Tamandua tetradactyla: one gene and its partner. The protein of the gene in region 1 purifies or fractionates together with the protein of each later gene. This does not show direct contact. Links are inferred from orthologs where the notes say so. Each region holds a gene or a part of one and is shown on either strand. Other genes may lie near its edges.

Region 1 (11,929 bases):
TATTGTATAGCTACAATAATCAAGACTGCGGTACTGACAGGGAATAGAGATATATTGCTCAATGGAATGGAATCGACCCACACAAATCTGCTCAACTGATTTTTTTTTTTAAGTATACAATGCAGTGGCATTTATTACATTTACAGTGTTGTGCTATAACCTCCATCCAGTACCAAAACTTTTTCATCACCCCAAATCAAAACTCGTACCCTTTAAGTAATACCTCCTGATGCTGAGGCCCCTGGTAACCTCCAATCCACTTTCTCTCCCTAGGAGTTGGCTTAGTCTAGGTATTTTGTGTAAGTGGAATCATACAGTATTTGTCCTTGTCTGTCTGGCACATTTCATTCAACATGATGATGTCTTAGAGTTCATTCGTATTGTAGCAAGTATCAGAGCTTCATTCATTTTTTTGTGGCTGAATAATATCTCATTGTGTGGATGTACCACATTTTGGTTTCCCATTCATCTCTTATTTATTTACTTATTTCTTCATCACATAGTTGTATATTCATCATCATGATCATTTCTTAGAACATATGCATCAATTCAGAAAAAGAAAACACAAAAAAATTCATACGTGTCATACCCCATACCCCTCCTTTTCATTGATCACTAGCATTTCAATCTACTAAGTTTATTTTAACCTTTGTTCCCCCTATTATTTATTTATTTTTAATCCATATGTTTTACTCCTCTGTCCATAAGGTAGATAAAAGAAGCTTTAGACACAAGATCTTCACAATCACACAGTCACATTGTGAAAGCCATATCATTATACAATCATCTTCAAGAAATGTGGCTACTGGAACACAGCTTTACAGTTTCAGGCAGTTCTGTTCAGCCTCTCTGTTATACCTTAACTAAAAAGGTGATATCTATTTAATGAGTAAGAAAACCCCCCAGGATAACCTCTCGACTCTGTTTGCAATCTCTCAGCTATTGACACTTTATTTTGTCTCATTTCTCTCTTCCTCCTTTTGGTCAAGACGGTTTTCTCAACCCCTTGGTGCTGAATCCTAGCTCATTCTAGGATTTCTGTCCCATGCTGCCAGGAAGGTTCACATCCCAAGACCTAGAGAGGGGGATGCCCAACTGATTTTTTACAAAAGGACAAAATCAATTCAAGGGAGGAAAGGGAGCCTTTTCAACAAATGACACTAGAGCAATTGGATGTCCATAGACCAAAAAAATGAACCTCAACTAAGTTTCACACTATTTACAAAAATTAATTCAACATGGATTACAGACTTATCTGTGAAATGTAAAACTGTAAGTCTTTTTAAAAAAAAGCACAGGAGAAATCTTTGGGATCTAAGGCTGGGCCAAGTGTGCTTAGACCTGACACGAAAAATATGATCCATAAGAAGAAAAATTGATAAATTAAACCTCATCAAAATAAAAAAAAAATATTTTGCTCTGTGAAAGACCCTGTTAAGAGAATGAAAAGATAAGTTACAGAAACTATTTGCAAGCCACATATCCGATAAAGGATTAGTATCTATAATATGTAAAGAATTTTTAAAAGTCAACAGTGAAAAACAAAAGTTAATTTGGGAAATGGGTAAAGACACAAAAAGACATACAGATGGCAAAAAAGCACATGAAAATATGGTCGACATCATAACCATTAAGGAAATACAAACTAAAACCTCAACAAGTATTGCTATATATGTACCAGAGTGGTTAAAATAAAAAATAGTTATAATACCAAATGCTGGTAAGGTTGCAGAGAAACTGGTAAGGTTGCAGAGAAACTGGATCACTTATGGATTACTGGTGGGAATGTAAATGTTATAGACACTCTGGAAAACATTTTGTCAGTTTCTTTAAAACTAAATGTCGAATATCATAAGACCCAGCAACTGCACTTCCTAGTTTTTGTTTATGCTTTTTAACAGTAAATGAAGACTTATTCTCACACAAAAACTATTACAGAATTGCACATTGCAACTGATATAGTTGTGTAGCAGCCCAAAACTGTAAACAATTCAGAAATTCTTCAAAAAGTGAATATTTAAACAAACTGGAACATACCTACCATGGAATATTACTCAGCGATAAAAAGGAGCAAACTATACAAGCAACAAGCTGGATGAATCTCCAGAGAATGATGCCAAGTGAAAAAGTCCAAAAAGTTGTAACTGTGTGATTGTTGAGATGACAGAATTATAGGAATGGAGAAGAGATGAGTGGTTGCCAGGGTTTAAGGAGGGAGTTCTGTTTTGCTAAAGCTGTGGGAAAGCAATATAACAGAAATAGATTGGCTTTTACAATTGGGATTTTAGTAACTTACTATTTACAGTTCTTAGGCCTTGAAAATGTTCAACTCAAGGCATCAGCAGGTTGTTGCCTAGACTCTGAATACATGCTGCTGGCATCTGGGACACTCTGTCATGGGAAGGTACACGTGGCTGATGTCTGCTGGTTCTTCTCTCCTGGGTCATTGCTTTCAGCTTCTCACTTCAGGGGCTTCCTCTCTGCTTTCGGTGGGTCACATCTCAACTGAAATAACATAATCCAAAGGTCCCACCCATATACACCCACAAAGAATGGATTAAAAGAACATGAGCTTTTCTGGATACATACAGCTCTCAAACCATTACAGAGGGGTTAGGGTGGGAAGTCAGTATCGGTATAAAGTGGGAACATGAGAAATTCTTGTGGCGATGGAAACTGTCTGTATCTGACGGTATCTATGTTGGTATGGAGGTAGTGACCCTGCACTACAAGTATTGCTACATATGTACCAGAGTGGTTAAAATAAAAAATAGTTATAACACCAAATGCTGGTAAGTTTGCAGAGAAACTGGGTCACTCATGGATTACTGGTGGGAATATAAATGTTATAGACACTCTGCCAGATGTTATCATCTGGGGAAACTGGGTAAAGGGTATATGGGATCGCTGTGTGTTTTTCTTATAAATGCTTATCAGTCTACAATAATATCAAATAAAGTTTAATTTAAAAAAAGAAGATATCCTCTCTGTAGCAGTATCAATTATTCAGCACTTTTCCAGCCTCCTATTTTCCAAAAAGCTGCACACTTAAGTTTTAAGAATCAGGATTTATCAAAGTAGGGTGAATTTTAATATTCTCTGAGCTTTGTGCTCTTTTAGCACTTATTTAGGGGTTTTGCCTACACAGATTACTCTAGGGACTTCCAGTTTCTCATTTGTGAATTATTATTATTATTATTACTTTCAATGCTTCCACAGGGCTAATTCACTCAGCTTCCAGAATTCCTGTCAACCCAAGGCTAATGACCCCATTTGGTACTGAGAGAAATCAAAAAAATTATTTTCTGAGTCACCTCCAGATGCACGTCCCCCAATTCTTTCTTCTTTCACACAAGAGGGGGCACCTGTATTAGGGGAATTTTGGAATCACTGGTGTGTTTCAGGTCATTAGATTCCTCTCCACCAGAGTCTGTCTCATGCTGCCTCAGAAATTGCCAGTTTTTGAGGGTAGGAAAGAACTCTCAAATCCAGCATTTTATCTGGCCCTATGTCTCACCCTTCAGAGCCAGCTTGGACAGAGCCACAGTTTCCTTCAGGCCCACGAAGGCACTGTGGGTAGATTCTAGAACAGTGTGACTATGGATTTTTCTCTCAGTGTAGGGTTAGATAATTTTCGTTGGCTTCTTGTAGTAGCAGTTCTCAGCTGACCAGACTTGACTGGGTGGCTTCTGGCTACAGAGATGCTGCTTGTGCACAAATCATCTGTCCCAACCAGGGATAAGACCAGGATCTGAAACAGGCAGCCGGAAGGCAAAGGCCTCGAGATTTTTCTTTCTTAAATGGCTGTTCTGTGATCGGATTATCTTGGAGAAACTGGTGTCCTGGAATATTTGATGTCAAATTTGAAAAACCAGGGAGAAGGAAATCAACATGTTTTAAGTACCTGCTATGTGTTGGGTGAAATAATCATTTGGATGACCCCCTACTCTCTTGATGAAGAGAGTAGGTTCAGAGAGAAGTGCTGTGCTCAAGGTCACACAAGTGGTAAGCGGTATAGCCTGAAATCAAACCCAAATCTTCCAGAATCTAAAGTCCACGCTTTCTCTATTCTATCATATTGACATAGAGGCAGCGTAGTGTGGTGGTTGAGTGGAAAGAACACATGCTCTGCAATTAGACAGATGTGTGTTCCAGTATTAGCTGCAACTGTTTCAAGCTGTGTGACCTTGGTAAGTCATGTAACCTCTCTGAGTCTCAGTTTCATCACCTAAAAAATGAGAATTATGAATTGTTTTTATGGCCGAAGGATTGTTGAGGGATTTCAGTTGATTCACATGCTCACCACTCAGCATAGCGTCTGACATATAAAAATAGTGGATGATTTGTCTTCCAAAGAGTAAGCCAGTTTGGTTACCAGTTCAATCTCAAAGAACTTTATCAACCCTTATTTTCCCCCACTGCCATCAATGTCCTTTGTTTAATTAAGGATAAGAATCATAATAGTAAATTGTTTTTTGTGCATCACCATATGCCAGGCAGTGTGCTAGGGTCTTCTCCCCCTTTATCTCCATTTAAATGAAGTGAAAGGCAAAAACTTGCAGCAGAAAGCGTGCTGGGTGCCTGCTTTTTGAAGCTGCCATTTGAAGGTAAAATGAAATTCACCTTCCATAATGTTGCGTCACACCAGCAGCTGTAGCAACAGATACCATTTGTTGAGGGTTTGTTACAAGTAAGGGACTATACTACATTCATTACATATGCGATCTTATAGAATTCCTTTCCACAATACTGAGGGGGGGGGGCTGCTATTACCCCTATTTTACAGATGAAGAAACTGAGGCTTAGAGTGGAAAAATAATTTGCTGTTATAGTGGTAGCTATTTGGTTCAGGTGAACCTTGATTTCCTGAATACATTTCCGAGGCTGATGTTTAAAATGAAAATAACCCTGCTGAATCGCAAAGATGTCATGCCTTGGGAAGTAAACAGCCTTCAGCAGGCTTACTTGGTCAGTTCAGTTCCTCCTGCCCCACTTCCCCAAATCTTGGCAGTTCAGAACGCACTCGACAGCTATTCACAGGGCAATTTCCTCACGCTAAAGATTAGGAAAGTCAGGCCTAGAGAGGGGAAGAGAACTGCCCCCAGATCAGTCTGACAGCAAAAGCCGGGGTTCAACCCCCGACTGGGAGTTCCAGTTTCTTAACCAAATGGGTGAAAGATTTTGGCCAGAGAAAACAAGGGAGGAACCCTGGAGCCTCCCCTTTCTCATCTGCGAAATGGGGTAATGACAGACCCACTGTGTAGCTGTAGGGGTTACGTGGGTATGGTCCAGACCAAGGGCTGCCTTTCGGTCCTGGGAATGTGAGAATTGGAGGCGGACGGGTGCTAGAGCTTCCGGGGTCCCGGAGGGCTCGGGAGCAGGATGAAGAGGGTAGGGGCGGAGCTTCGGAAGTGAAGAATTCAGGGCGGGGCTTGGAGTTGTAAGCATATAGATGGGCACGCGGCCGGCAGTTGGCGAGGAGCCAGGTTTAGGGAGCCCGGAAGCTGCCTTCTGGGCTTTGCTGGACAATGGGCGGATCTCTGCGGAGCCGAGGGGTGTGGCTCTGTAGTGCCTAATGGATCAATGGGCAGAGCTCTAAGAATCCTGCGCTTGGTTGCAAAGAGCAAAGGGTGTGACTTGTGGGGGGGGGCTTGTGGGCGTGGCCCTGCCACCCTAAAATGACTGGTGGGCAATGCCGGGGCTTCGGCACCCACCCACCTCAGTGCCCCCGTGCATTCCCGGGCGCGACCAGAGAGGGCGCTAGACAGGAGTTGGAGGGGAATTGGGGCGTGGAACGTGGGCTGGGAAGCGGGCGTCCCCTCCCGGAAGTGGGCGTGGCCCTCTCCGGCTAGGCGACCCCGGTTGGGTGCGGTGCGGCGCGGGGGCGGGGCCCGCGTGCGGCGTCGGCTACCCGCGCCCCTCCCCCGCGCGGCGCTCAGTGCCAGGCGGGAGGCGGCAGCGGTTGGAGGTGTCGCGGGGTTTGCAGCGGGGACTTCGGCGGCAGTGGCGGCGGCGGCGGCGGCGGCGCCTCTGACACCTCGGCCCTGGTGAGCGGCGCGCGCCCGGTGGGGCGGCTCGGGAGGAGCCGGGCGGGGACCCGTCCTCTAGGCATGTGCTGGCGCCGGCTGTCAGGAGCCGGCGGGGCGTGGGGCAGGGCCGGGTGGAGGGGACCGGACGGGGTGGGCGGCGGGTGTGCAGGGGTCAGGCCGGGGGCTGCTGCCAGAGGGGTCTGGGGGAGCAGCCGCCTGGCCTGGGAAGCGTGGGCTGGGGTTCCTGTGGGGAGGGGGCCGTCCAGGAGAGGCTTTTAGCGGGCAGAACTTACCTCTCTTGGTGCGGGCTGGGGGCCGGGGGCTGACCTAGGGTGTTTTTCAGGGGTCCGGGACTGTCGTGGTGGGCTGAAGGGCTGGGGGCCGAGTGGGCTGGGGAAGGCTTTTACGAATCTGGGACCCGCCTGCTCGGCTGAGGTGTTTGCTGGGCGGGGAGGGGTTGCTCGGGTCTGGAGCGCCGAGCTGGAGGCGCCAGGCCCGGGGGCGGGGCGTGAGGCGCCCTAGGGAGCGAGTGGGTGGGGGGTGGATAGGGGCCGGGCTCACGTGGGGCGGGGGCGAGCTGGGCCCGCATGGGTGGGGCGAGGGCGGTCGCCCGCGCTCTGGATGCGAGGCCAGGTCTGGGCCCTGAAGGTCTGGGTTGGGGTCCCGGGAAGGGCGGGGCAGGGCTAGAGCTGGAGTAATGTGGGTGGGGGCGGCTTGGGGAGAAGCCGGGCCCCCCCTGAGGGAGCGGAGGTCTGGAGCCGCGGGTGGGGGTTGGGAGGGGCAGAACGAAGCGGGAACGCTGCGGGGTCGGTGGCCTGAGGCGTCCGCAGGAGCGAACTGGATGAGCCTGAGATGTGCTGCCCTAATAGCGGGGCAGCCGGCGGGGGACGCAGGGAACAGAGCGAGGTGCATGCAGGTGGGGCTCCGGCCGCGCCAGCATGACTGAGGATGAGGTCAGATGTTGTGGGGAGAAATGCAGGAGCCGAGCTGTCCCGCGCGTCCCCACTGGCGCACGCACATCAGCTCCTTCTCTTCTGATCTGAACGTGTCGGGGGAAGTGGCAGGCGGCGGGCAGCCAGCGGAGAAGAAAGGGGCTTCCTCCCGGAGGGAGGCGCTGGCCCTGCCATCCTTTTTTGGGAGTATTCAAAGGGTTTTAAGCGCTGGAAAAGGAAATGTGCGCTTTACGGCGCGGTGGTTTGGAATCATATCCTATATTTGGCCTTAATGTAGGCTCTGCTGGTTTTGTGGTGTCTGGAGTGCTTGCTCTACATGTGGCAAACGTGGGATTCGGAGTGAGAACCAAATTGCAAGTTGTTCATCTTCCCTAGGTTACAAGATACAGAGGCCTTTCTTTCCTATAAGGCATTTTAAAAGAATTGCATTTCGTGTGTGTCTGTGTGTGTGTTTAATCTGGTACTGGGTGGCGAAAATGCTTACTTTTGGAAATAGTTATCACAAAACATTAGGCCCTATTACGGCAGCCTTCCTGCCTGGGATTACATTCTAAAACAGTACTTGTAGGGCTCTTAGTCACTCTATATAATAATGCATCTCATTGTGCTTATCTGGCAGAACTCTCTCCTGACACCAGGGCCTGCTAGAATAGATGGAAACATGATTAAGTATAAGCAGTTGCTTTGTACATCTGTTCAATTGTGCAGGCTAATGGCTATCTATTTAATATTCACTCTCTGTGTTCACTGTAAGACTGAAGAAATGGGGAAAATCTATTTTGGGCTAGATTCTGTATATCTCAGAAGGTTAATTTAAGGAGAATTTTAAAAAATTTTTCTGATTTGGAGATAGGTTTCAGAGTTATAATGTTTGAATGTGAAGTCTGATAGTAAATGCTGGATCTGAGTGATTGCATATGAAAATAGAAAGAAAAAAAGTGAAAGAAAACTGAGAATTGTGTTATACATTAGGCCCTGAAATGCAACATTCCGTGATGGGAGATGGTCATGTGTGCTGAAGGTTGACCAAAGATTGGTCTAAAGGTCAGGCCACCTTTATGACAAATTCTTAATGTGCTTTGTTCATCTTTGTTTCCTGTTACTTGTGGAAGGTACATTAAAGCCTGATGAATTTTAATAGGCACTTCCCTGTGAAATATTGCTGCACCCAGTATTGGATTTTTCATGATCATTTGTTACTTTGCAGATTGCACTAATTGGCATTTATGTCTGTTACTTTGTATCTACTTTAGGATTAGATTCAGGGTTGGCAAGTAGCATTTTTTAAACGCTGTGGATCTTATTGATTTAAATTTTAAGCTTAATGCATCTGCCACTTCTGGGATCCACTCCAACCATAGGAGAGTTAGTCACTCTCATGCCTATGAAATGGAGTGTTCAAAAGGATAAATTATCAGTTTTATAGCTGGGAGTGTGGAAGATTCAATTCTTAAGGCTCGCAAAAGATTTATTTCTTAATATTTCAATTTGTCACAAATTGATGCTTTAGAGACATATCGATAATTGGGCCATTTTACCTTTGACCTCTTTTTTTGTATGTGGAACAATAGTTGATTTGGGTACAACTTTCATATTCAGGGTACCAAGCCGTGTGATAAAAACTCTTAATGTTGTTTTCCATTTGATGAATTCCCTGTGTTACCGTCCCTCTAAATCATGAAAACTCTTTTCTGACATATGTAGACCTTTTTTAAGCTAAGATGCCTTTTCTGTATTAAAACATGAAAATCCTCATGAATATTTCAGTATGACCTAGAATGTGAAGTAGAATGCTAAGTAATAGAATCTCTCTGGGTTTGCAGTGCCCTAGTTCAGATCCTTTAACGTGAGTGAGCAAAATTCTGTACTTCTTTCTGAGACCTCACTTTATTTCAGGGATGCATCATTTTTTAACATCTTTATTGAGATAGTATACCGTACAATTCACCTATCCAAAGTGTACAATTCAGTGGTTCTTAGTATATTCACAGAGTTGTGCAACTGTCATCACAATCAATTTTTCCTTTCTCCAGAAGGTAAATCAATAACGATTAGCAGTCACCCCTCCTCCCCAATTCCTTCCAACCCTACCAGCCCCTGGCAAGTATTAATCTACTTTCTGTCTTTATGAATTTGCCCATTCTGGACGTATCAAATAAATGGAATCATATAACGTGGTCTTTTGTGACTGATTTCTTTCACTTAGCATAATATTTTCAATGTTCGTCTATGTTGTAGCATGTGTCGGAACTTTATTCCTTTTTATGGGCAAATAATATTCCAGCGAGTAAATATACTTTGTCCACTCCTCAGTTGGTGGACATTTGGGTTGTTTCACCTTATGGCCGTTATGAATATTGCTGCTGTGAACAAGTTTTTGTGTGAGCTTATGTTTTCATTTTTATTGTGTATATACCTAGGAGTAGAATTGCTGGGTCTTATGATAACTCTATGTTTATCTGCTTGAGAAACTGCCAGACTTTTCCAAAGTGGCTGTACCATTTCACATCCCCGCTGACAATGTATGAGGGTTACAGTTTCTCTGCATTCTCCGACACTTATCTTTTTTATTGTAGCCATCCTGTGAGTGTGGCATTGTATCTCACCATTGTTTTGATTTGTGTTTCCCTGATGGAAATGATGCTGAGCATCTTTTCTGTACTTATTGTCCATTGGTGTATCATTTGGGTTATTTGTCCTTTTATTATTGAGCTATCAGAATTCTTTATATATTCTAGATAGAAGTTCCTTGTCAAATATAAGATTTGCAAATTTTTTCTCCCATTCTATGCCTTGTCTTTTCATTTTCTTTATGGTATCCTTTGAAGCACAAATGCTTTTAATTTTAATGATGTCCAATTTATACATAATGAGTCTTACTAGTTAGAAATTGTTTAGGCCTTAAATCACATCTTCATCGATATTTTGGTTATATAAATTAAAGATCAAATGTGGAAGTACTGAGGAAAGATTTTAATTAGTTCTTTTTAATTTGTGCTGTTGGTTATTGGGAAACATGTCATTCCTGGCTCAAATCCTTAAGGAATAAAGTTCAAACTTAATGTGGTTGTGGATCAAGACAATCTCTGATTTCTGCATGCTTTATTTCTTACTACTTCCCTTCCTATGTCATATAACTCCAACCCCTTTCCAAAATGTCCTTTGGGATTGCAGGCCATGTGACATTTCCTCCATAAAATCTTTGCAGCGCACCAGGGCAGTCATTGCCCCTGCCCTCGTACAGAGTATCGTCTTCATTGCTGTCCACTTCAAGGAACTGGACCTGGACCTGAACTTACAGTCTGAAAGCCACCTCCACATAGAAGGCAGAATCTGAGACAGAAATTCACGCGAAAGGCTGAGCAGCTTCTCTTGCTGTCAGCTCCAAGCCCAGTGCCTTACTAGATATTTACTGAATGGATGATTGTTTGTTAAAGTTAACTGAAAATATCCTGATGTCAGTGGTTTTCTCTCATTACTGTTTGCATCTTTGTTTCTCTGTTAAAAAATAACCTGAGTACAGGAGTAATTCCCTTCTGCCTTTCTGGCATCCCAAGTCTAGCTCTAACCAAAAAAATTGCTCAGATGAAAGACCGTATTTGAAACATTTTCCCTGGAACAGCACATCCTTGCCCAGGATCTTTTCTCCCAGTGAACGGTGCTGACTGGCGCACAGCCTTCTCGTGGGGCACCTGGCCAGGAGCACACTTAGTGTGGTATGTGTTGGCCACACAGAATGGCACAGGCAGCCCTGATGGCAGTCAGTACTGGAACTACACCTGTGTACTCTCGACGATGGATGTAAATCTGATTTTACGGGCCCATGCTTCCCTTTAATCCTTGTTTTCATGCTCTCTTGCTTCTTTTGGAACGTCTGAGTATTACTCAGTTATACTTTGTGTTCTTATGTTCATTTTTAATGATTTAATTAAATATGTCCCTTAACATTTTCCTGAGAATTAGAAGAAACCAGTGGACTGCTTGGGGGATATTTTTTCTTCTTTTGCCTTCAGTAAAGTGATTGGATTGTGGCAAGGTAGTAAAGAAGAGGAAGGAAGATAAATTTCATATTTGTGGCTTTATCAGATTAGGCTCAGTGAGTAATCAGTACTGTATCTTATGTGGTATCTTTCTTTAGGGAAGTTTTGTACTTAGAGAAACTGAGGCAATGAAGTGCAGGCTCTTTGAGCCGGACTGAGCTGGATTTCACTCTTTCACTCCACTTCTTATTCACTGCGTCTCTGCCAAAGTATCTCACTTCCCTGAGCCTCTCCTGTAGGCTCCTAGTGGCTCCCTTGCAGGCTGTGGTCGAGGTGAGATAGGAAGAGTCTTCCAGACAGGGTGTACGCCACATAAACCCTGTTCCTTCCTCTTCACTCTCAAATGTCTGTTCATGAACGGAACTGTGTGGCATCAGTACATTTTATTTCTGATGTTAAGCTATTAAGGTATGCATTCCCCTGCCACCTCAGCATTTCAGATTTTGAATCACTTGAAGAGGGGGGAAAAAGTCTAGTTTTAGGATGGGAAGGTGGTGTTAAAAATGAGGCAGCTTTTTGCATCTATTTGAATTGGAAATGTACGCTCAGACATGCTTCCCTCATGCAGACCTTATGCTTCTGTTCTGTCTGTCCGTCTGCCTGTCTGTCTCTTTTAAGGAACAGGGTTGAGTTGCTGGCAAAGGGTTGATGCTTTCAGGGGTTGTAAGGAGATTGTGCTGCAGTGCTTGGGTGCTCATCAGGTTCAAAGGCGAATGGAAGCTCTGGGATCAGCTGTCGCATTGTGTATGGGGAAAGAACCGCAGCAGCTTCACGGGATGTCGTTTGGATCTTAGGTTAATAACAGAAGTGGTTCCTCCTCTTTGCCTCAAAGTAAGGAGAAATTAAATCAAAATAATGCAAAGCTCATAATGAAAAACTGAAATATAAATGGAAGTTGTAAGGCCTC
Region 2 (12,733 bases), on another chromosome or scaffold:
GTCAGATACGAAAAGACAGAAGAGAGAGGTATGGAGGAAAGTGTAGAAAGAAGGAAAATCAGATATGATATATATAATACAAAAGCCAAAATGGTAGAGGAAAATATTATCCAAACAGTAATAACACTAAAAGTTAATGGACTGAATTTCCCAATCAGAAGACATAGACTGGCAGAATGGATTACGACCCAGCAATACCACTGCTAGGTATCTACTCAAAGGACTTAAGGGCAAAGACACAGATGGACATTTGCACACCAGTGTTTATAGCAGCATTATCTACAATTGCAAAGAGATGGAAACAGCCAAAATGTCCATCAACAGACGAGTGGCTAAACAAACTGTAGTATATACATATGATGGAATATTATGCAGCTTTAAGACAGACTAAACTTATGAAGCATGTAATAACATGGATGGACCTAGAGAACATTAAGCTGAGTGAGTCTAGCCAAAATCTAAAGGACAAATACTGTATGGTCCCACTGATGTGAACCGACATTCGAGAATCAGCTTGGAATATATCATTGGTAACAGAGACCAGCAGGAGTTAGAAACAGGGTAAGATAATGGGTAATCGGAGCTGAAGGGATACAGACTGTGGAACAGGACTAGATACAAAAACTCAAAAATGGACAGCACAATAATACCTAAGTGTAATGTAACTATGTTGGAACACTGAATGAAGCTGCACCTGAAATAAAAAAAATAAAAAAAAAAAAATTTCATGCGAAAACATGTCTATTTCAGAATAATATATATTTTGAAAATTCAGGACCTTAAACAAATAACTATAATACCATAACTGATAATGACTTGGCAGCATGCAAATACTTCAGGTTGGAGTGGCACATTCATTCTTGATAAATTTATATAGAATAAATTCTCATAAGACATTTGGTTTCAAAATTGCATATACATGTGATGATATTATGAGCCATTGATTGTATACTTTGGATGGATTGTATGAAGTGTGAATATATTTCAGTAAAATTGTAGTAAAAATTGTATGTACTTAATGAATAATTACAAATAAAATATGAACATATGGTCAATTTAAACACTGATGTGCCAGTTTGAAAGGATGTGTGTAACCTAGAAAAGCTATGTTTTAATCCTAATCTCATTTTGTAAAGGCAGCTGTTTCTTCTAATCTATTCAGTACTATATGTTGGAAACTTTAATTAGATTATCTCCATGGAGATGTGACTCACTTAAGGCTAGGTGTTAAACTGGATTAGGTGGAGACGTGTCTCCACCCATTCTAAGTGGGTCTTGTTTACTTTAGTGGAATCCTATAAAAGAGGAAACATTTTGGAGAAAGCAGGAGATTCAGAGAGAGCAGAGAAAGATGACAGAATGCCACAGAACCATGAAGCAGAGAGTCCACCAGCCAGTGACCTTTGAGGATAAAGAAAGAAAACGCCTCCCAGGGAGCTGGAGAGGAAGCTACCAGATGATGCTGTGTTCTGCCATATGCCCTTCCAGCCAAGAGAGAAACCTTGACCGTGTTCACCAGGTACCTTTCCCCACTTGAGAGAGAAACCCTGAACTTCATCGGTCTTCTTGAATCAAGGTATCTTTCCCTGGATGCTTTAGCATGGGCATTTCTACAGACTTGCTTTAATTGGGACATTTCCACGGCCTAAAAACTGTTAACTTGCAATTTATTAAATTCCCCTTTTTAAAAGCCATTCCATTTCTGGTATATTGCATTCCGGCAGCTAGCAAACTAAAGCAACTGATATTAATTTATCTGAGTTAATTCAAGTCAGTGATTAGAGAGCTGTATTTTTTAAAGTGGAGGTAAAAAAATCTTTAGGAGACATACATGTACACATGTACATTTGAAGACCAAGAGTTAAAAACCCATTGCTGATTAATACTATTAAGCAAAGGATGTATAACCAGAAATGGAACAGCTTTTAAAAGGGGGAATTTATTAAGTTGCAAGTTTACAGTTTTAAGGCCATGGAAATGTCCAAATTAAGGTACCAACAAGAGGTTACCTTCACTCAAGAAAGGCCAATAAAGTTCAGAGTTTCTCTCTCATCTGGGAGGGCACACAGCAATGTCTGCTAGCTTTCTGTCCTCATTTCATAAAGCTTCCCCAGGGGTGTTTTCCTTCTGTTTCAAAGGTCTCTGGCTGCTTGGGCTCTATTGCTTCTGGTGGATCTAAGGCTTTTTTCAAAATGGTTCCATTTTAAAGAACTCCAGTAAGCAACCCCACTTTGAATGGGTGGAGACACATCTGCATGGAAATAATCTAATCAAAGGTTACCATCCACAACTGAGTGAGTTATATCTCCATGGAAATAATCAAAAAGGTCCCACTGTGATTGTGAAAACCTTGTGTCTGATGTTCTTATTATCTACCTTATTGACAGATGAGTAAAACATATGGATTAAAAATAAATAAATAATGGGAACAAATGTTAAAATAAATTTAGTAGATTGAAATGCTAGTGATCAATGAAAGGGAGGGGTAAGGGGTACGGCATGTACGAATTTTTTTTGTTTTCTTTTTATTTCTTTTTCTGAGTTGATGCAAATGTTCTAAGAAATGATCATGATGATGAATACACAAGTATGTGATGATATTGTGAGTTACTAATTATATACGTAGCATGGAATGATTATACGGTAAGAATGTTTGTGTTTTTATGTTGGTATGTTTAATAAATAAACTTTTTTAAAAAAGGAAAAAAAACACGGCTTTTCTAGGGTATATAAATCTTTTCAAACCAGCACACTTAGGATCAGCTAAAAAGGGCATCATGAAGACCCTGCACATAAGAGTTTGCACGTTAATATCTAAATCTAATCACTGAAGCTGAAACAAGACGCACTTGAGACAACACAAGACAAGACATCTGTCCATGCCTTCCTCATGAAGATCCAATGCCATTGCTTATCTGACAAGAATGCACCATGTGGACATTACTTAGTTTTTGACCCCTTCCCCCTTCCCTTTACTTATAAAAACCCTAACTTACATCCCCACTTTGAACAGGTTTGGGGACGATTCCTCCAGTTCCTTGAAAAGTGCATTTGCAATAAATCACCTTCACACTGAGAAAAAAAAAAGGTCCCACTGAGCAATATTGAATGAGGATTAAAGGACATGGCTCTTCTGGGGGACAAAATAGCTTCAAATCGGTACAACATCCATCACACATGTTTCACAAACAGCATGTTTCTGAAATTGCATATTTCATTATGAATAAACACTACAGTATTAATAACTAGAGAAATAATTGGAATGAGTTCCAAAATGCCATAACTTTCATGAGGCATCCTGGAACATATCTTAGGGCATTTATTTTAATTTTGGGGCTTTAAGAACATCTTCTTTGCTTTAATTGGTTCTATGTTTCCATTTTCATCTTCTTTGTAGTTGGTTTTGGAAAACTTTTCCAGTTGTTCCCACCAAGTTCTCCTATCTTTTAATCATTTCTTCATCAGATACACTGAATGCCACTGTTTCATTTCAATGTCTTCTGCTCTTTTTTTAGTGTTCATCTGAAGCACTAATTTCTCACTCTCAGATTTGACCCTCTGCATGACATTCCTCCACAGAGAAGGCCTTCACCTAGCGGAAAACTCTGCTCTATTGTAAAACTCTCTCTTTAAGTTCTGGCAAATCCAAATACCAGTGTTTTTCAGTGATGATTTTCTTCTCTTTCTTTTTCAGTGGTTTCTTGTTTTTAAGTCCAATTGCCTTTGCATGAATATGATATGCAATAGATTCTTGGACAACTTGGTCTTTTGCTCAGCGACCACGCTACCTCCCACCTGGTGTTGCATTCTGGTGATTATGTTTTTAAAATGCTTTCACTGTTAGAAACATGTCCCAAAGTATTTAAAGGAGAAAGGGTATGATATCTGAGATTCACTTTTAAATACTCCAGCAAACAACAAAACAACCAAAAACTTTGTGTAGAGGAAGGCAGATGAAACAAGGATGGCAGAAAGCTGACGACGACTGAAGTGAAGTGATGGGTTCACACAGTTCACTGTACTGTAGTTTTATTTTTATGAGTTTGAAAATGTCCACAATAAAAGTTTAAAAAACAGTAATCAATTTGACTACATTAAAAATAATGATCATTTAAGGCTCTCAAATTATGAAATATCTAGACAAAAATTGGAGTATATTTTCCTCCAATCCTGAGATGTACTTATGTACACAGAAGACCTAAAAGTAGGCAAGAGACTCAAAGTGTTCAGGAATTGAATAGTAAAATATTGAATTTACTTTCATGATACTTATTGCCTTTCCCAAGCACAGATCCCAGATTGCAGATACCTTTTTTGTTTTTGCATGATTGTGATACTTTTTTGAGGTTGGATCTAAATCAGGACAATATGTACTTAGAGTATCATAAGACCTTCTCTTGATTTGATTTTAAAACAGTGTTCACTTTGTATCATCAAAAGCAAAGAATATCCGTGCAATACACCCAAGCCATCTATGGTACTAACAAATGTTATAGTAACATTATCTAAATTGCCAGCAAAAACATATAATTAACCATGAGAAAACAATCAGACAAATCTAAAACATGGAACATTTCTATAAGCCAAATGGCCTGAATTCTTCAAAAAGTCAATGTCATGAAAAAAAAAAAATTCGGGACTTGGCTGGATTGAGACTATTTAGACACAACAACTACAGCAATGATGAACCCTGGTTAGATCTGTTAGGAGAAAAAGAGCTATAAACATTTTAGAGACAAGTGGGTAAATATGCGTAGGAGTATGGTCTGGGTATTAAATGATAAAGAATTATTGCTAATTTTCTTTGATGTGAATATTATATGGTGGTGTTTTTTTTTTTTTATGAAGGGCATGTTGAAGAATTTCAGAGTGAAGTGTCATGTAAATGCCTAAAACATTTTCAAATGGATTAATTTGCTTTTAACTGACTTAGTTTAACACTGTTAATGTAAACATATATCTTAGCAACATAAATAAGAATTACCTGTAGGAGTTGACAAGATAGAGACTTTTTTTTTCTGACACGATTACAAACTTTCTGGCTAACTGCTTTTTAAAGCCAAACAATTAAATAAATAGAATTAAATCATATGTATGTCCCATTCTTGAGTTCTTCAGGTACAGAATAAGGCATTAAATATACGGTAATACCATCAGTTTCTAAAATGAGTGAACATCTCTAAAGTGAACTAAAGTTCTACTGAGAACATTTCCAAGGTACCTTTGTGCTCATTAATTTAGAAACCACAGACACAAATAACTGCTTTTTTTCATTGAATCCAACTATATCATTTCCATCCATACTCTGAATTCTGGAGAACAAAGTTATCATTATTTTACTTCAATTACTAGTAGACACTATTTTCCTTCTCAATTTCCTCAAGTATGATACATGTCTACAAAAATAGGAGTCTGTTTTAACAACCATTGTATTACTCTATAATCATAAAAACATACTGACCAATTTCCAGTCAAGCGAGTAAGATAAATCAGGTCCAGATACTAGAAAACCTCCAGGAAAATCATCACCAAGTTGGGGATGCCAAGTGGGGCTTCTGGTTTTCATGACAGATTTGGAGTTTTGAAAAAATCCCCTGGATAATCAGAATCCAGGCTTTGGAGTTCAGGCACACTTGTACTTACTCCTGGTTCGGTGACATTATAGCCAAGGGAATTTGGGCAGGTAACTTAATTTTTTTAAAAGCAACTTTGTTGAAGTTATGTTTACATACCATAAAATTTACCTGTTATAAGTATACAGTTTGATGATTTTTAGTAAGTTTATAGCTGAACAACCATCATGAGAACATTTCCATCACCCCAAATAGTTTGTTTGCATTCAAACCCCACTCCCCCAGTCCCCGCCGCTTGTCTGCTGTTTCTATAAATTTGATTTTTTATAGAAATTTAATATAAATGGAACCATATGGTCCTTTTGTGTCTGGCAGTCTTTTAGGTTCATTCATGCCCAGTGTTTATTAGTAGTTTCTTCCTTTTTATCACTGAATAATATTCTTTTGTGTGGAGACCAGGCACTCATCAAGATGGCCCGGTGAGATGCTTCTGAGCTTCGTCCCCCAAGGAAGCTTTGAACAATCGGTGAAAACTGACAGACACATTTCTCAGAAAAATAAAAGGCTACTTAAAAGTGGCATATTCTCATGGGGTCCTGGCTGGCCCCTTCCGCACTCCTCACAGGCTCAGCAGGGATTCAACCGATACGCCCTGGAAGCAGAGTAATCCTTCTGCACACCCAAGGGCATGTATCATTTTTATAATCAGAAGAAAAACAAAAGTGATTTCTTAGAAAGTAAAAATTAGTAATCCATGTAATTCCACAAAGAGAAGTAAAAGAACTCAGAAACGCTGGAGTTTAATTTATGGAGACCAATCAGATGCACTTTCAGGAAAACTTCACTGTGCAAAGCACCGGGGCCATAAAAGTAACAGGTGGACTCATTCTTAAGGAAAATTAGAACTAATGCAGTGTTTTTCTCAATCTGTTCAACCTGCTGAGGTACCTCAAAGTCTACTGAAGCAGGTGAAGGGAAGGCCCAGTCCCTTGTGGCCTTCCACTGCATCTACTTCTGAAACTTCCAACTACACTTATGGTGACATTTGCCCGTTTTATAGATTGAGGTTCCGTATAAGATTAAATTAAAGATTTTACACTTTTAAAGGTTTGAAAACTGGTGATATAAAAGAACAATGTGGAAACTGGGACACAGCCTGGTATTATAAAAAAAAATACTGGACTGGGAGTTCATGATTCAAGTTTTATTCCAGTTGTACATGTTGGACACCCATGTGAAAGGGACAATTCTACTTTTCACTTCTCTAAAATGATGGCATTTTCTACATAAACTTTTATGTCACTTATCCATCAAGTATTTGTTAAGTGTACATATATACATTAAGTGTATTCATATATACATGGTAAAGTAATAACAACACAAAAAAAGGCTGTAAAAAACATCTTGAGGTTATAAGCAAAGTCTTTATAGATGTGACAATTTGGGTCTAGGGAATGAATAAAAATCTGCCAGCTGATTAAAAAGAAAAAAGATGGGGCATTAGAATTACATGTTTAAAAGTATGAACTTAAAAATAAATGTCCCGGCGGGCGGCGGTGGCGCAGTGGCAGGGTTCTCGCCTGCCATGCTGGAGACCCGGTTCGATTCCCGGTGCCTGCCCATGCAAAAAAAAAAAAAGAAAAATCCACTAGTGAATGAACACTTATGTACAGAATTTTATCCTCACAACAAACAATCCATGGAGGTAGATTTGTTTGATACCCGAAGCCTAGGTGGCGGGTTTAAATGTATACAAATACCGAATGGGTGTAAAACAGTAAAGTGCTGCTAGAAGAAGAAAAAGGTGAGAGACAAGGCTGGAAATGCAAGCACCGCACTTTACTGTGGAGCAAGCAGAGCAAAGAAGGAAGGTATCACTGGAATTGCAGGTCAGTGTAAAACCTAGACGTCTTATATGTGACATATATAGTGACGAATCTATGTGTATGTGTGTGCATTCATCCCAGCTCTGTCCACAGAGCAGGATGAGGAGCAAAGACACGTTCAATGAGGGTCAGCAAGGAACACCAGGTGGCCTCCCGCCCTCCCTGCGGCCCACTCCGCCACATCCCGCTGACACTTCGCGCCAGACCCGCGGACCTTCACCGCCTCCGCCTTCCACAGCCCGCAGCGGCAGGCACCGTCAGCTCCTGCGATGCCCCGGGGTGAAAGCCAAGGCGGCCCCCCACGTCAGCCGCCGTGGACGCTCGGCGAAGGGTGGGGAATAAGACGCAGAGAGGAAGAACCGAGGAGGCGCGGCGACCAGCGGGTAACCGTGACAGCAGCGCCAGAGCAGGGCGCCGCAGAGCCCCGTGGGTGGTGGGGGCGGGGACTCGGCGCTCACCCCTTTCTTATTGGAGCTCTTCGCTGCCAGTCGCCGCCTCCTACTTCGCGTCCCCAGCCCCTCCGAGCCGGCCTTCAGTTAAATGGCGGGCGGGGCCGGGCGGCGACTTCCGGTTGGGAGAAGAAAGTCGAGCAGAAGGAGGGGCCGTGGAGAGGGAGGAGGAGGAAGAGGAAGGGGCCCGGCGGCGGCTGTAGGTTGTACGGCGGCTCTCCCCCGGGCGGACGATGGACAGCCAGGGCAGGAAGGTGGTGGTGTGCGACAACGGCACCGGGGTAAGCGCCCGGTGGAGGCCTCAGCCGGCACAGGCCCCGGCCGGCGTGTGCGGGGGGCGCGCGGGCCCTGGGCTCCCGCGGCCGCGCCTCTGGGCCCTCCTCAGCCGGTCCCGGCCAAGGGGTGCGGGGCGGTGCCTCCCGCCACGGCGGGCGCCGGGGCCGAGCGGGTGGGGCCCTGGTTTCCCCAGAACCGGCCAGCCCCGCAGCCTTCCGGGTCAGGGCGGCGGGCCAGGCCGGCGCCGGACCGGGCTCCCACCTGCTGCCGGGATAGGAGCCGGCTCGCTGCTTGGGCTGAGAGGATTTGTCCAGGGAACTCGGAGGAACCGGGAGGCGTGAAAGGCTGGGTTTGTGGGTTCCGAGATGGGTCCATTCCCCGGTGTGTGAAAAAGGAGAAGGACCAAGAGGCCTTCCTCTTCCTGTATAGTTGAAGACAGTGAACAGGAGGCAGGAAACGGCTGAAAGGGAAGTGCTTGTGCTGTCATGCAGTGGGCCTCAGGCCCCTCGCCGTGTTAAAGGTGCCTTTTTTTTTTTAAGCGAGGGGGAGGCCTGATGGCAGCGCGTCATTTACTTTTTATTTTGCATGCTGGTAATTTGGCCCGGCTGCAGCCCCTCAGGGACTAGCACATTCCATATTAGAGCCTCTAGAAGGCCCAAGTGTTAATTCTGCAGATTGATGGCCTTGGGGGAATCAGTTTTGGTCTTCTCCCCCCACCCCCCACCCCCCTTTTCTTAGGTGCAGAGTACTGAATGTTCGTCTTTGGAGTACTTTAGTGTTCGTCTAAAGCCAGTTCGTCTCTTACTGGCATTCTAAGATGCCCGTAAAATGTAAAAATCTGATAAAAGCACTGATTTCGACATTATTTGAACATTTCCTTTGAAATACTCCCCTTTATTTTAAAATATGTATTTTGGGCAGTAAAGTCAGCAGATTAGAAGATGGAAATGTTATTTGTTTTGCATGACTTGTAGAGTGATCATTTATCCCTGAATTACAGTAATTTTTGAATTGTTATATATTGTGATTTTTCTCCCCTCTCTCCCTAAATGTGACATACACTTTATTTTTACTTGAACTTTCACATACATTTTGGAAACTGGATTGAGGGAGAAAAAGAGCAGGTACTAACTGCCACAATACTACCCTTGATTTAATTGATCAACTTTTACCACCAGTTATACTGGCTTCATCTACACTACGTTAAAAATGAATCGATTGTGATGATTAAAAAAATATTTGAGCCTTCTAGCTTCATATATTCTGGAGAAGTTAGAAGGAAAAATCTGAGAGGATCATATGGTAGCTCATGACACACTCTGGGATCTGTCTTGTAACTGCTTGTTGAAGAGTGCTTTGAAAACTATTGCTTTTTTATTTCTTTGCTTTGTATATATCTTATACTATACTATAAAAAAGTTTTTAAAAAGTGAATGGGAATACAAAGAGTGTTATCATATAGTGGGACATCCATAAAAAATAGAATACTTAAAACAAGGAGGCAGATCCATTGCTATAGAAATATGTCCAAAATGTATTGTTAAATTAAAAAAAAAGTTTTAAGATGATCCCATCTGTGTGGGTGTCTTTATTAAAGATCATGTATCCAGAAACTCCTAGCTGCTTATGAAAGTTTTGGAGGGATACACAAGAAATGTTCATAGTGGTTACCCTGAGACTGGGGATAAGGAGGGAGGGAACAATGCTGAAGAAGACTTAAAGAAGATATTCTGGCTTAATTTTTTTTTGATTAATGGAAATGGTTGGTACCCTAAAGTATTTTCATTTGCCCTTAACACTTTAGGGTTTAAAATTATAAGGTATTTGAGAAGTTGATTTTTTTTTTAAGCCCTCTGCAGGCACAACGTGCCAGATGCTGGTCCTTCTGTATTTCCTCATCAGCCCCCAACTAGGTCAGTGTGTTATGGTGGGCTGGTGGAGGGAAAGTCTTGTCATTCCTCTCATTCCAGAAATGCTTCTGCCTTATGACTGACTGTTCAAAGCTGCCATCTAAAATAGAGCCACTGAAAGTGGCCGGAGAGAGGAAAATCTGAAGATTGTCACTGCTCTCGGTTTAGATGACTTTCAAGAGTCAGACCCAGGAGTTTGGCCCTGGCATTGTGTGTCTCGTTCCATCAGCAGTGACTTCCATCCCCAACAATCATAAAGACTTTCCAGGTGTCTCCTGTGTTTTTGGCAGGGTTTCACTACTGTCTAGTGATACAAAGTAGCTTATAGTGCTGGAATAGCTATGTTTTCATTTATAATTCACATTTTAGTTGATTATGGCCTGTTTCATCAAGCTTATGTTAATTTATATGTTCTACTTGACAGTGTTTGCCATAGAAACAAACCCAAAACAAATTTGGCTTTACTCTGTTAGCCTGTCATTTGACAGCGTGAAAAGTGTTCCATCTTGAACATGTTTTGAATGAAATAAACTCTTTTGAGGTGGCCCTCTAAGATTAGAACAATTATTATGCAGCTAAATTAACAGATACATCAGTACCATCAGATAAAATTACTAAGGGAAAAATACAAATTAAACAAGCCCAAATGGGACTTTATAAATCCAAGTTTATTTTTTGAGAGGAAAAGCAGATGTAGATCAAATTCTTCATTTGTGCTTGAAAGAACATTATACTGTGCATGTTCTTACCATTTGATGACTCAGTGGGAAGTCAGGGAGCCAGTTTAAACCACAGTGCTGTGAAGAGGAAACTATATATGGTAAAATCTATTTCTTTAACACAGCCTTATTGCACATGAGATAACTAAGTCACCAAGTGTTAAAATTATTGGAGTAGAGGAAAAAATTTCATTAATTAAATTGTACAAAATGAGTAGTTTAGAAAGTAATATTTTTGTGTTTTTTCACCTGAAATCTAAATGGCTTAGATTTTTTTTTAATACTGTGGTTTTTTTGTTTGTTTTTAATAAGAAAGGAGATGTTAGATTGGCTATCAAAAAGTTTGTATTCTGAGAAATAGATTGTTGTAATTATATTCTTGTGATAGCTCTTAATGCTTTCATATTTGAAAGAAAAATATGTACCAAGGAATGGTGCAGTTATTGTCATTTTGACTGACTACCTTAATATATACACTGGATTACTAGGGTAGCATGTGCTTCCATTGAGCTTCTACTTAAGCAGAATGGATAATTTTAGTAAGTGATTGATATCTTCAATTTGAATTAAAATCCAAATATTCACTGTTTATAAAGTACAGTAATCATAGGCTTTAAAATATGTTGGCAATTGTTTCTACAGTTCCAAGGGTCTCAATTTTTGTCTTCTGATTTAGGCTCTTGGCATATGTTTTGTTGCTTAAAGTATATTCAGATGCATTCTAAATGTTTGAACATTTATAATCAGGAAACACTGAATGATCAGTTATTTACTGCTCTTCCCTGTTGCATATTTCTGAGTGTTTGAGGCTCAGAATGAGAGAGGAGGCATGTCAACTTTAGCAGCCTTAAGATTATACCCAGTCCTGGGCTCCTCCCATCTTCAACTTCTCTTATGATTTCTGGAGTTAATAGAGTTATTTGCAATTAAAATGCTGAAAATGACCCTTACAAGCTTATCGATTCTCTTTTCAGTTGTTCACTCTATCATTTTCTTTGAGAACATTTATATCAATTTAAAGAAACATTTGTAGCCTGGTAAATGTACACTTTTGAACCACCCATTCTCCGTATCTCTTTGTTACTTTGAGGAAAATTAAGAGTTGAACATTCAGAAAGTATTTAAGGTCTATATATGAGATATATGTGTAAATTATAATTAATGCTGTTATTAGGCTGGTGATCATGACATTTCAGCTAAACAAAAAAGTAGTATATGAAAAGCTGATCTCTTTACCGATTGTTATTTAGAGGAAGGGAATTAAAGTACCCAATGACCCTAGTACTGTTTTTGTATGTTTACTTTAATTCTCTAATATACTATCACATGAAATAATCCATAATAAAATAAACCAATTTTCCTATTAAAAAAAAAAAAGTAGTGTATGCTTGGAATAATGCAGAGAACAGATTCTCTAAAGACCCTCCCAGGGTCATTTCAGTTCATGTCAGGTGAGCTGTGTTTTGATTTAAAGACAATAGAGTTAGTGATTATGGAGAGAAAAACAGAAGAGTTTTGAAATGTTTCTTTTAGTTTGAACATACTAAAAAATACTGGGTTTTATTCTTTCCCCTGTGGTAATTTTTCCTCGAAAGTCCTTCCCAGTTCATATGGATAAATTTTTTTTTATTAATTAAAAAATTTTTTTTTAAATACCAAAAAACACCAAACGCAAACATTCATAACTTTTGATCATTCCATTCTACATATAATCAGTAATTCACAGTATCATCACATAGCTGCATATTCATCATCATGATCATTTCTTGGAACGTTTGCATCTATTCAGAAAAAGAAATAAAAAGAAAACAGAAAAAAAATCATACGTACCATATCCCCCTACCTCTCCCCTTTACCGATCACCATCATTTCACTCTAAATTTATTATAACATTTGTTCCCCCTATTATTCATCTTTATT

Evidence for each region.
Region 2: the proteins of CORO1C (region 1) and ACTR2 fractionate together in Homo sapiens (co-fractionation; 3 studies listed by BioGRID and IntAct, with this or other methods). This does not show direct contact. The link is inferred for Tamandua tetradactyla from reciprocal best matches to the Homo sapiens genes CORO1C and ACTR2.

Annotation. Positions count from the first base shown.
Region 1 is NC_135331.1:22,649,403-22,661,331, forward strand, and holds the start of CORO1C (coronin-1C), read left to right. Parts: upstream 1-5,929; 5' UTR 5,930-6,047; intron 6,048-6,322; exon of another isoform or gene 6,323-6,559; intron 6,560-6,640; exon of another isoform or gene 6,641-6,677; intron 6,678-11,929. UniProt on the Homo sapiens protein: Plays a role in directed cell migration by regulating the activation and subcellular location of RAC1. Increases the presence of activated RAC1 at the leading edge of migrating cells.
Region 2 is NC_135343.1:38,487,492-38,500,224, forward strand, and holds the start of ACTR2 (actin-related protein 2), read left to right. Parts: upstream 1-8,004; 5' UTR 8,005-8,141; coding exon 8,142-8,189; intron 8,190-12,733. UniProt on the Homo sapiens protein: ATP-binding component of the Arp2/3 complex, a multiprotein complex that mediates actin polymerization upon stimulation by nucleation-promoting factor (NPF).